Arabidopsis thaliana: one gene and its partners. The protein of the gene in region 3 binds, or shares a complex with, the protein of the main gene of each other region. Each region holds a gene or a part of one and is shown on either strand. Other genes may lie near its edges. The genes, in order: AT5G47890, AT1G79010 and EMB1467. A codon is read from its position in the direction of its gene.

The links.
Region 1: the proteins of EMB1467 (region 3) and AT5G47890 are in contact, whole or in part, in a cryo-EM structure (PDB 8BED), measured with the Arabidopsis thaliana proteins. Residues at the interface, in NP_568550.1 of Arabidopsis thaliana: Lys397 (codon at 479), Asn401 (codon at 467), Arg402 (codon at 464), Met403 (codon at 461), Gly404 (codon at 458), Asp406 (codon at 452), Asp418 (codon at 416), Ala419 (codon at 413), Asp420 (codon at 410), Leu421 (codon at 407), Arg422 (codon at 404), Tyr425 (codon at 395), Leu563, Asp564, Gly566, Gln570, Arg679, Lys681, Ser682, Val683, Pro685, Asn686, His689, Glu692, Glu694, Pro695, Ala696, Ala697, Phe698, Ser701; in NP_199600.1 of Arabidopsis thaliana: Lys12 (codon at 1,851), Glu13 (codon at 1,848), Arg15 (codon at 1,842), Leu17 (codon at 1,836), Leu18 (codon at 1,833), Gln20 (codon at 1,827), Arg29 (codon at 1,800), Val32 (codon at 1,694), Glu33 (codon at 1,691), Tyr36 (codon at 1,682), Lys37 (codon at 1,679), Lys40 (codon at 1,670), Ser41 (codon at 1,667), Lys45 (codon at 1,655), Leu46 (codon at 1,652), Pro47 (codon at 1,649), Ile48 (codon at 1,646), Leu49 (codon at 1,643), Ile50 (codon at 1,640), Arg51 (codon at 1,637), Glu52 (codon at 1,634), Cys53 (codon at 1,631), Ser54 (codon at 1,628), Val56 (codon at 1,622), Trp61 (codon at 1,607), Arg63 (codon at 1,601), Met66 (codon at 379), Gly67 (codon at 376), Glu69 (codon at 370).
Region 2: the proteins of EMB1467 (region 3) and AT1G79010 are in contact, whole or in part, in a cryo-EM structure (PDB 8BED), measured with the Arabidopsis thaliana proteins. Residues at the interface, in NP_568550.1 of Arabidopsis thaliana: Pro171 (codon at 1,332), Ile172 (codon at 1,329), Cys173 (codon at 1,326), Asp174 (codon at 1,323), Lys212 (codon at 1,209), Ala279 (codon at 912), Phe280 (codon at 909), Lys281 (codon at 906), Arg283 (codon at 900); in NP_178022.1 of Arabidopsis thaliana: Glu143 (codon at 3,311), Glu144 (codon at 3,314), Gly148 (codon at 3,326), Ser149 (codon at 3,329), Arg150 (codon at 3,332).

Annotation. Positions count from the first base shown.
Region 1 is NC_003076.8:19,386,944-19,390,689, reverse strand, and holds the start of AT5G47890 (NADH-ubiquinone oxidoreductase B8 subunit), read right to left. Parts: upstream 1,987-3,746; 5' UTR 1,885-1,986; coding exon 1,799-1,884; intron 1,702-1,798; coding exon 1,595-1,701; intron 382-1,594; coding exon 281-381; 3' UTR 1-280. Other genes in the region: ERF1-1 (eukaryotic release factor 1-1), read left to right, coding at 2,825-3,746. UniProt on the Arabidopsis thaliana protein: Accessory subunit of the mitochondrial membrane respiratory chain NADH dehydrogenase (Complex I), that is believed not to be involved in catalysis. Complex I functions in the transfer of electrons from NADH to the respiratory chain.
Region 2 is NC_003070.9:29,725,106-29,728,851, reverse strand, and holds the start of AT1G79010 (Alpha-helical ferredoxin), read left to right. Parts: upstream 1-1,823; 5' UTR 1,824-1,918; coding exon 1,919-1,972; intron 1,973-2,366; coding exon 2,367-2,445; intron 2,446-2,573; coding exon 2,574-2,627; intron 2,628-2,748; coding exon 2,749-2,840; intron 2,841-2,917; coding exon 2,918-3,031; intron 3,032-3,277; coding exon 3,278-3,345; intron 3,346-3,427; coding exon 3,428-3,539; intron 3,540-3,618; coding exon 3,619-3,714; 3' UTR 3,715-3,746. Other genes in the region: AT1G79020 (Enhancer of polycomb-like transcription factor protein), read left to right, coding at 165-203, 305-385, 479-526, 711-761, 848-916, 990-1,241, 1,328-1,570. UniProt on the Arabidopsis thaliana protein: Core subunit of the mitochondrial membrane respiratory chain NADH dehydrogenase (Complex I) that is believed to belong to the minimal assembly required for catalysis. Complex I functions in the transfer of electrons from NADH to the respiratory chain.
Region 3 is NC_003076.8:14,895,691-14,899,436, reverse strand, and holds the start of EMB1467 (NADH-ubiquinone dehydrogenase), read right to left. Parts: upstream 2,028-3,746; 5' UTR 1,948-2,027; coding exon 1,527-1,947; intron 1,422-1,526; coding exon 1,175-1,421; intron 1,079-1,174; coding exon 784-1,078; intron 705-783; coding exon 330-704; intron 1-329.

The DNA of each region.
Region 1 (3,746 bases), 4.5 Mb from region 3:
GGAATTGTTGCGGAAAACACGGTCAAAAACCGACATGCCCACATCCCCTAAAACAAAAAGTTTAAACAGAGATGGTTTATTTTTCTCCTTTCTGTGATTTCAATTATACGGAATGGTTTAATTCCAAGTTCAAGGATTACACAAAAAAACCAACTCAAATGCAAGGCGATATGACACCACGGAGTTACAAAGTAGTAGAATGACAGGAAATGTCAAATGATTGTTTTGCGGTTTAATCTTATTCGGGATCATATAGAGAAAAACAAACAAACAAACAAACTTAGGCCTTTGTAGCTCCGGATTTCACAAGGTTTTCAAGGGCCTTTAGAATCTGTGGCTCTGTCAGACCATCCAAGTTTACACACCTCTCCACACCCATATCTGCACAAGCCAAGCACGAATTAACGCAATACAAAAACAGACACATTTATAAATACTAGTTCCGAAGTAGAATCGAGGATGACAATTTTAACGCATATGACTGTTGCGTAAAACAAGTTTATCACCAAAAAGAAAAAGAATCATCTTGTTCTCTCATATTTACAGTATTATACTTTACTACATTATCGGAGTGTGGGAACATAGTTTAAAGATGTTCAAAGTTCACTCAACACAGATGCTTAAATACTTTAAGTTGCTGAAGACACTGATATGTTTGGTCAGGGAAACCATATAAAATGGATCAGCTAATGAGATAACATAAACCATAAGATTTTGGCATTCACATAAATACACAACAAGGAACTAGGGAAACCAGTCTCATTTCAAAAGAACAAGCCAATATGCATTTTCATTAATGACCAATAGTCTAAGGGTGAGTGTGTACTTTAAGAGTAACTCAAGATGTTAAAACTCACTCAAAATTTAAGGCTGATATGCGACAACCATAAAGTTCAAAACAAAACAAAAACGAGAGAGAGAAAATGAACAACAGCAGTAGGCAATCACATAAACCATAAGATTTTGGCATTCACATAAAACACAACAAGGGACAAGGGAAAACAATCCTCATCTTATAAAGCACAAGCCAATATACATAGCGGTTATACACAATTCCTTATCATCAATGACCAAGACTCTAAGGGTGAGTGTGAGTGTACTACTTTAAGTGTAATTGGTTAACTCATAGTGTTAAAAGACTCTTCCCTAAAAAACTTAATGCAGAAACAAAAGAAAGAAGCCACATCTGTTATTACCAATGACCACATTCATGTCAAGTTTTTTAAAAACAAACAAACCAAAATTTAACACTGTAGAAAATTCAAAACAAACAGAATCGCGAGAAAGAAAAAGAACAACCCACATTAGAAAATCCCATAAACCATAAATTTCAGCATTCACATCAAACACAACAAGAAACATTTTCATCACAAGATGTACAAGGCTCGATAGTGAGTGTATAATGGGTGAACACAAGATGTTATAAAGACACCTCCATACAAAATATGAATGCAGAAGCAATAGAAGAAGTCACATATGTAACTACATTCATATCAAATCTTTAAAAGAGCACAATTAATTTTCATATCTCTAAAAATTAAACAATTTGAGTCAAAATTTTCCTTCACAGAGATAAGAGATAAAGCAAATTTACCATATCTTGCCCACATCTGAGGCTGGACTCCACTACATTCACGGATCAAGATTGGTAATTTAGGGTTTAGAGACTTCAAATCTTTGTAATTCTTCTCAACAAACGTTCTGAAACAACGAAACAAAAACCCTATAAATCACAAAACGGATATGGAACATTGAAAAAAAATTCCGATCTCAGAGATTGCTTTGATCAAATTGAAACCTGGTGGGAGCACTAGCTGGAGAAGATTGACAAAGAAGAATCCTAAGCTCTTTCATAGACTTCGATATGCTTCCTCTCCATGCCATCGTTCTTCTTCTTCCTCTTAACTCTTCAGATGCCACACAACGAAAGAATCAAAGACCAGAGAGAACTTTGTGTTCATGTGAAAATGAATTAAGTAAAGTTATTGGTCTTCGGCCCATTAAGTGAGTCGGAAAGTTACTGGGCTTAGGCCCATTAAATGAGTCGGTTTTGTTAGGTTTAGACCAAAAAAAAAAAAAAAAAAACTAGGTTATATATATTCTCTTTCTCTGCCACAAATTGTCTTCATACAGTAAAGAATATAATAAGTTGTCGAAGGCTTGAGCGTTGTTCCTTCTTCTTCAGGTACTTTTTGATCTTCATCTTTTTTTTGGGTTTTAATTTGTCCTTATGAATTCGTAATTGTTTGATTTGATTATTCGATTTGATCGATTGATTCTGTGATCTGATTTGTTTTGCATGTGGTTATCGTTGTTTTAGGTTTCGGGAATTTTAGATTCTTAAGTATACTTGTTTATCGGCTTTTCTCGTTTTGATATCATAGCAATCGATTTCGTGTGTTGAATTAATTTTAATCTGAATTAAGATTAGTTATTCCGTAATATAGAATTGAAGAGATTGGTTTTTGTAAGACAGATCCATCAGCTAAATCTATTATTGTCTTGATCTTTGAAATTAATATGTAATATTTTTTGTATTATTAATTTCTTTTAAGATTTATTAGTATCATTATTCATTACTGATGAACGCATGTTATTAAGATTATTGAATTTAATTCAACTTTTATGGCTGATTTTTTTAATGGTAAATTGCACAATATTTATTGTATGATTAAGGTTACATGACACACTTTGTATTATTACAGCTTCGGTTATTGTTTCTTGAGGATTTTATATCCGTATTCCAGTTTTGAGTTATATTACTCTGTTTTCGGTATTAACTAGCTTATGTACTGTTGTTGTAGGTTTTTGTTCTATTGTTAAGATGGGAGACAAAAACGATGACGACAAGAACATTGAGATATGGAAGATTAAGAAGCTGATCAAATCACTTGAAGCTGCTAGGGGTAATGGAACCAGCATGATCTCACTCATCATGCCTCCGCGTGATCAGGTCTCTCGTGTTACCAAGATGTTGGGTGATGAGTATGGAACCGCGTCAAACATCAAGAGCAGAGTCAATCGTCAATCTGTTTTGGGGGCCATAACTTCTGCTCAGCAAAGGTTGAAACTTTACAACAGGGTCCCTCCTAATGGTCTTGTACTCTATACTGGAACCATTGTTAATGAGGATGGTAAGGAGAAGAAGGTTACTATTGACTTTGAGCCTTTCAGACCCATCAATGCTTCTCTCTACCTTTGTGACAACAAGTTTCACACGGAAGCTTTGAATGAATTGTTGGAGTCTGATGACAAGTTTGGTTTCATTGTAATGGATGGAAACGGGACTCTCTTTGGAACTCTTAGTGGTAACACCCGTGAGGTACTTCACAAGTTCTCTGTTGATCTTCCGAAGAAACACGGAAGAGGAGGACAGTCTGCTCTTCGTTTTGCCCGTCTCCGTATGGAGAAGCGTCACAATTATGTTAGGAAGACTGCTGAGCTCGCCACACAGTACTACATCAATCCTGCTACAAGTCAGCCTAATGTGTCTGGACTGATTCTTGCTGGTTCAGCAGATTTCAAGACTGAGTTGAGTCAGTCTGATATGTTTGATCCCCGACTGGCTGCGAAGATACTGAATGTGGTGGATGTATCATATGGAGGAGAAAATGGTTTTAATCAAGCTATTGAGCTGTCAGCTGAAATCCTTGCGAATGTGAAGTTTATCCAAGAGAAGCGTCTGATTGGGAAGTACTTTGAGGAGATAAGCCAGGACACGGGGAAGTATGTGTTTGGTGTGGAAG
Region 2 (3,746 bases), on a different chromosome or scaffold from region 3:
ATGATCTTATTTTACGGGGTGAGATAAGACGGTTTAATAGATTATTTGATTCGTGAAACCTATGCATAGTTCTTGTGAATGACAAAGCAGTTCCACATATGGAGTACCTTTGGCTGATAATACTTATGCATATGTTTCGTTTTCTGTTTTTTATGTGAACTTAGCGTAAAAGATGGCAGAAGCCTATCTTACGGCGTTTACAGGTTTGTATTATTTATTTCCATTTGAAACGATCAAGGCCTATGTTGGAAAGGCATCTTACCTCGATTATTTAGTTAATGTTTTGCTTCATTGTTTGGAACAGCCTCCCCCACCGGTTAATGACACCAATCCCTATAATGTGTTTAGGCCAAGGGAGAAAGTTCACAGACTCCACACAAGAAGGGTAGGCTGTCTTTTTTATGCATGTGCGACATTTTTTCTATTAAAATCCAACTGGAGAAAGAAAAATAGTGATAAGGCTTTACTTCATCTTCAGATGCAGAGGAGAGAAAACAATGTGCAGTCATTTGAAAAGCTTCGACAGGTGAGTGAGGCACCTGAACCTTTATGGTTCTTTAATTTCCTGAAATCTGAGCAATTTACGTTTACAGTGCCTTCTTTTAGTTTCTCTCTGGACAACATTGTTTTTTCTGCTTGTTAATGATCTGTTAGTGATTCTTTTATGGTTTTCTATTGGATTCTGAATACATGGGATATGTTATTATCAGGTTAGACGCAATCTAGGCCAAGCACAGAGCATTCTGGAGGCTCTCATTAAGGTGTTCTATATGACAGTTTTAGTGTTTATCTTAACAAGCGGATTGCATTCTCCAAAGTTGCTAATTTGATGTTACCCATTCCGTAGAGAGAAGAGAAGAAGAGGGATGTCATGGACAGTGAGGTTAGCCTTCAGAGAATCCAACTCCAATACAGGGTACTTACTTCTACTTCCTCTAAAACTCTCTGTTTTCCGTTTTCCGGGTCTAAAATTGTTTTTTTTTTTGCAGCATGAAACAGAGCTCTTGGAAGATAGCTTGGCTATGCCTGGATTTCAACCCACTACAACATCATACAAATTTGGCTCAAGCGATGATGAACTGATGGACTCTGATGATCACACCAGTACTCGTGTACGTACAAGACCTGCGGTTATTCCTAGTTCTCGTTTCACCAACTTAAATCTGAATGCATCTCATCCCGGAGGCATCAAACAAGAAGTTAGAAGACGACAGTCACAGCATGGATGGCTTCACAGACTGGTAAAACCTTCTCTTACAACACCTAAGCTCTCTCTAGCTACTATAATCAATCATTTAAGCAAACCTGTAATGATTTTGTTCCTTAGGATCCTAATGAACCGGTAATGCTATTCACAAAACCGCTGGTTCCCGATAAACTGGCAGCTGCAGGGATTGTTCCTCCAACACCGGATTCATCACCAGGTCAACCTCCAAGTCGGTTTCAGGGGAGGATTGGGCGTGGTGGCCGAATTATTTTCGATAGATGGAATCCGTTGATGCAATCTCACATTAATTGTGGAAACTCTTATTACATTGCTCCAAATCACCGGTCTACCAACTTCGATTGAGATATTTTCACAATCTTGCTTTGTAAAGAATTTTCCATCACCAATGGTGTATGCAATAACGATTCTCAGCTAAATAAGTTTTAGCACTTTGTAACTAACTGGTTATTGTGTGTATTTCTGTTTATTTTCGGTTAAGGAAAGAATCTGTTTAATTCAAAATCCGGTTCTATCGGCGGTTTGGAAAACCAAAAACTATTGTACCAGGGACCAAATTGTAATAATATCTTCAACTCAAAGGACAAAATAGGATTTTAGGGCTCTTTATTGATTTTAATCGGAAGTTCAGGTTTGCTCATCAATCGCAGTGAAGAAGGAAGGAACCTAAATCGGAATTTGGGTGCTCCATCAATGGCTTCGATTTTGGCTCGCAGGTCACTGAATACTCTCCGTGCTCGACATCTCGTATGAATCTTGTTCGCTCTTGTTATTTCTTCATTTTGTGTCCTTTAGTTAGAGTTATTTGAATGCCTAGAAATGGGAATGTCTCCTGGAGTTTTGGGAGCTTAAGATGATTCTATTCACTCTCTGTGTTTTGTTTTGTGTCGACGAGATTCTGGATTTTATCTAGCTGATCGATGAAATCATGTAGGGAGATTTGAATTTGATCATGGTTCATCTTAAGGGCTTTCGTTTTACTTATGGTTTCCTTATTCTTTTTCGCATTTAATTTTTGTGACGAAAGCCTTTTCGCAAGTCAATTTTTTTTTGTTTTTTTTTGCGAGCTTTAATCCTTTCATTAGCTTGATATGGTGTGTATGTTCTGAATACCTCTCTGATTACTTCTCGACATTGATAGGTTTTGTCAGGGCAAGCTTTACAGGGATCTCATCTGTCTAGACTGCAGTCCCGTGGTATATCTTATGGCAGCAACAAAGGTATATTTTCTGCTCTTGTTTGGTTTTCTTTGGTAAATCAGGTTTAATTGTGAATCTACCCCTTTTCCAACTTGTATTACGAGATTCTGATTCATATATGACTTATGGTTTGCGTATGTAATATTCAGATGATGAAGAAGCAGAGCAACTTTCTAAGGAAATCTCCAAGGACTGGAATACTGGTAATCCATATGATCTAGACAATTTTACTTTTTTTCTCCTTTCTTCTTTTCTTGTACGTCTATCTTCCTTGGTGTTTTCCTCCCCGAGTATTAGTGATTCCTGATATTCTCAAATTTGTAGTCTTTGAACGGAGCATAAACACCCTGTTCCTCACAGAAATGGTCCGCGGTTTGTCGCTGACCCTCAAGTACTTCTTTGATCCAAAAGTTACTGTGAGTGATATCTTTTCTAGTCTTCCAAACTTAGATTGAAAGAAATCTGTGTTACTGAAGCTCTTTCGTGTATGCAGATCAATTATCCATTTGAGAAGGGTCCTCTGAGCCCTCGCTTCCGTGGTGAACATGCTCTTCGAAGATATCCTACCGGGGAAGAACGCTGCATTGCCTGCAAACTCTGTGAAGCTGTGAGTTTTGAGATCGATATGAATCCTTCATTTAATTTAACGTTCTCTTTGTTCTGATATGGTACTCTGAGTCTATCAAATTCATCTTAGTAATTAGGAAAGCTATTTGAGTATGAGTAATATTTACTGTTTAGTCTCTAGAGTTCTGATGAAATGGTCATATTAGCTGACAATGATCTATTTAGTGTGTATAAAAGTTCACCACGGATTGTAATTCTTGTGAGGGATACTTGTCCTTTTCATCAGGTATGTCCAGCTCAAGCAATCACAATAGAGGCAGAAGAGAGGGAAGATGGAAGCCGCAGAACCACTAGGTCATCATCCCTTTAGTTCTCATTTATCAACCATCTGCTTTCTTTATTACCCTTTCATGATGATTTGAGCTGTATCGTACAGGTACGATATCGACATGACAAAATGCATCTACTGTGGTTTCTGCCAAGAAGCTTGCCCCGTTGATGCAATCGTTGAAGGACCTAACTTTGAATTCGCAACCGAGACACACGAGGTCTGTTTTTCACATTTTCTAGACCCTAATAATTTTCGAGGCATGCTTATTGAAATTTTTGTTATATTCTCTATGATAGGAACTTCTCTATGACAAAGAGAAGCTTCTTGAGAATGGAGATCGATGGGAGACAGAGATTGCTGAGAATCTGAGGTCGGAGAGTCTCTACCGCTGAACCATTCTACAACAGTCTCTGCTTCATTCAAC
Region 3 (3,746 bases):
AAAACTGGTGAATGTACTGCTAAAAAACCTTCACAACTTTGATATCTGGAAGAGCAAGTTTTGCTTGATCTAGATTGGTCTGGATCAGGAATATTCAATACAAGCGAAATGTTAACATCTGATCTGTTTTTTAGAAACTTAATTTTGCTTGTTTCTCCTTTCTATTTGCCTCTGTATTCCAAATTATGCACAGAACCTTAAGCCACACCACTAAATCAAAGTATCAAACTACACAATTTGGTTTTTCTTATGTCATTGTTCCAAATACAGAGCGGTCTGTCTAATCCGGTACCAGAAACCATACAAAAAAGACAGGGTGGAAATCTCACCTGGGTACCGATGAGAAGGAAGAGATCGGCGTTTTCAAGTCCACTGATGCTAGTGTTCATCAGATAACTGTATCTAAGATCAGCATCAACACCAGCAGCTGTTCCTTCACACCATACATTGTCTGAGCCCATTCTGTTAACGAAGTCCTTCAGTACCATCATGGATTCCGCATCAGATAGCTGACCTGCTACTCCAACAATCTCATCTGGCTTCACCTGATGAATGATATCACCCACAACAGCCAAGGCATCACGCCAGCTCACTGCCTTGAATCGTCCATCGGAATCTCGGATCATAGGGTCGCTCAGCCTTTGTCTTTTCAGGCCGTCATAACAGAATCGGGTTTTGTCAGATATCCATTCTTCGTTTATATCCTGAATAAGAACATTCACAAGTTCAACATCCAGCAAAATACTTTTAAAAATAGTGTTTTTGAACAAAAGCATTACATACCTCATTCAGGCGTGGAATGATACGCATTACTTCTGGTCCTCTACTATCAACACGGATGTTGGACCCAACAGCATCACTAACATCAATAGTTTCTGTTGCTTTCAACTCCCAGTTTCTGGCTTTAAAGGCAAAAGGCTTTGAGGTCAAGGCTCCAACAGGACAGATATCAATAACATTTCCAGAGAGTTCACTGGTCATAAGCTTTTCAACATAAGTTCCAATTTCCTCTCCACTACCACGACCTAGTATACCAAGATCCTGAACCCCAGCAACTTCAGAAGCAAATCGTACACACCTACAAAAACATTATACATACAAAACCTAATCAACAGGATAGCGTATCTATCACATTAACTAAAACATCACACTATAAGCAAACTATATTAGTAACCTTGTACACTGGATACACCGAGTCATAACAGTCTTCACAAGAGGACCAAGATTCTTATCAACAACAGATCTTTTCATCTCAGTAAAACGTCCTCTATCAGATCCAAAAGCCATAGACTGATCCTGAAGATCACACTCTCCTCCTTGGTCACAAATAGGACAATCCAAAGGGTGATTCATCAACAAAAACTCCATCACTCCCTCCCTCGCCTTCTTAGCTATCGGTGTATCAGTCTTAATCTTCATCCCTGTTACAAAAACTCTTAGCAATAGCACCAAATCCAAATATATTCCACCAATCAACGATCAAAATCAATCCATCAGCATAGAAATTTTCCTGGAATCGAACTAACCAGGAAGCGCAGGCATGGCACATGAAGCTACAGGCTTAGGAGATTTCTCAACCTCAACAAGACACATCCTGCAATTTCCAGCAATAGATAAACGAGAATGATAACAAAACCTCGGGATATCAACTCCAGCGACCTCACAAGCCTGAAGAACAGTGAATCCTTTAGGGACTTTGACCGCGTAACCATCGACAAAGACCTCGATCGCATCTTCAGGATTCGAGAAGTGGACGCGTGCTCCACCTACAGGGTTTCTAGGAGGGAGAATCTGTGTCGGCGGCTCAGGCTCAGAGACAGCAGCGGATTCAGGAGATTGGAGCTCTGGTTTTGAGACGATTGTGCGGAGGAAGAAATTGGAGGTTTGAGATTGAAGAAGACGTGAAGCTGGTCGAATTGTTCGAGAAGCTAAGATGCCTAAACCCATGGCGTTGTGGATCTGTATCGTCTTCTTCTTCTTCTTCGTCTTCTATGTGTGTATTTCTCGATCTTGTTGTGAGAACTCCTGAAGCATTTGTGCGAGAGAGAAGGAGACACGAATGAGTGAGTTTTGGGCTTTATGGGCTTTTATTTTGGATATTATAATTGGCTTATGAATGAGTGAGTTTTGGGCTTTGTGGGCTTTTTCTTTTCAAACTGAATTAAGTTAATTTTGGGAGATATAGTTTAAGAGTTTTGATGATCTTTCTCTAATTCACTTAATGACATTGAGTTTAAAACAATCTTGCTTCTAGTTCCATACAACATATTAGAACCTCTAGCAAAATAAACCTCTAATCAATCATTAGTCCTAGAGACTTTTAGGTCAATGTACTAATTGAACATTTGTATATTTCAGATAAAGACAACTTAAAATATGGTTATAAATGATGACAATTTTAAACATCTCAACGTCGTCTATTTAAATAAAAGGAAAGAAAATATTGTCAACACCTATGCTGCATCGGTTAAGGTTTACGTGTAAGAGTTAGTTTATTTTCCTCGTTTGTTTAGGTTTACGTGTAAGCATCATTATCAGTGATATTGTTATTAATCTAACCTTTGCAATGACAACCAAAAAAAAAAAAAAATGAAGTTTCATAAGCTTTGATATATATTATCTTATCATTACAGGCAGACATGATAAGTATAATTTAACTCGTTTAATTTGATAGTTTTAGTTATAAATTTACATAGTAATTCGTTATAATTTTAATTATGGGTTTGAATGGTTACGGCGGTTCGGGCGGACAAAACCATCAACGGATCAGACTGTTTTTTATTTACCATTAATCAATTATAGTGCACAGTGGTCCGGACAAAAAAAAAAGAAGAAAACCGCAACAGATCATCTGTGAATCATCCACGAACTATTTTTACATATAAATAAACTTGGTCCACAGCGGTTTATTGTCCGCCTCAAAATAAGGTAGATTAAACCGCATACAAAGTATACCGCTTTGTCCACTGCATCCATTCAAAACTTATAAAGTTATAAGTTATAGCTAATAAATATGACACTTTTTCAAATTGTTATAGATCACTTTAAGAGTGATTACATTCCTCTCTTGTTTTTTTTTGTCAAACAGAGTGATTACATTCCTTTCTTTTTTTTTGTCAAACAGGGTGATTACATTCCTTCTTTTTTTTTTTTTGTCAAAACAGAGTGATTACATTCCAAGGCAAAGAAACATAAGGGAGAACCACTAACTACAATAAAAATTGTTGGGTTAATGGCAAAAGAAAAAAAAGAATTAGTGGTTCTTCTATGAAAAAGAATTGCATCCAATGGAAAGAGGATGTGACCGAGTTGATAAGATATGAAACACAACATATATAGCTTTTTGTTATCAAACTATTTATCGTCTCGTATTTGTTCTAATCTAAACCGAAATACTAATATTTTAAGGAAATACTTTGCGAAAAATAAATAAAAATTCTCACCTTTATTCAATCAAAGCCAAAAATGAAAAAAAAAAATAGAAGCAAGACAATCATATTCATACAACTCGATAAGGTAGTACCTCTAAAGTGCAAAACGAAAACAAGAAATATCTCTGCTATCTCATTCTCGTCAACTAGGAAACTCTGCATAATCTCTCTTTTACACAATGCAAAGAATAAGGTGAAGATGAACTGATTATCTCTAGCGTACTATGAAAGTCAATATTTAGATGCAAATTAGGTGATTTTTATTGTCGATATTCTTCTTTTTCTGGACACGTCCTCATATTCGTGTATATTTAA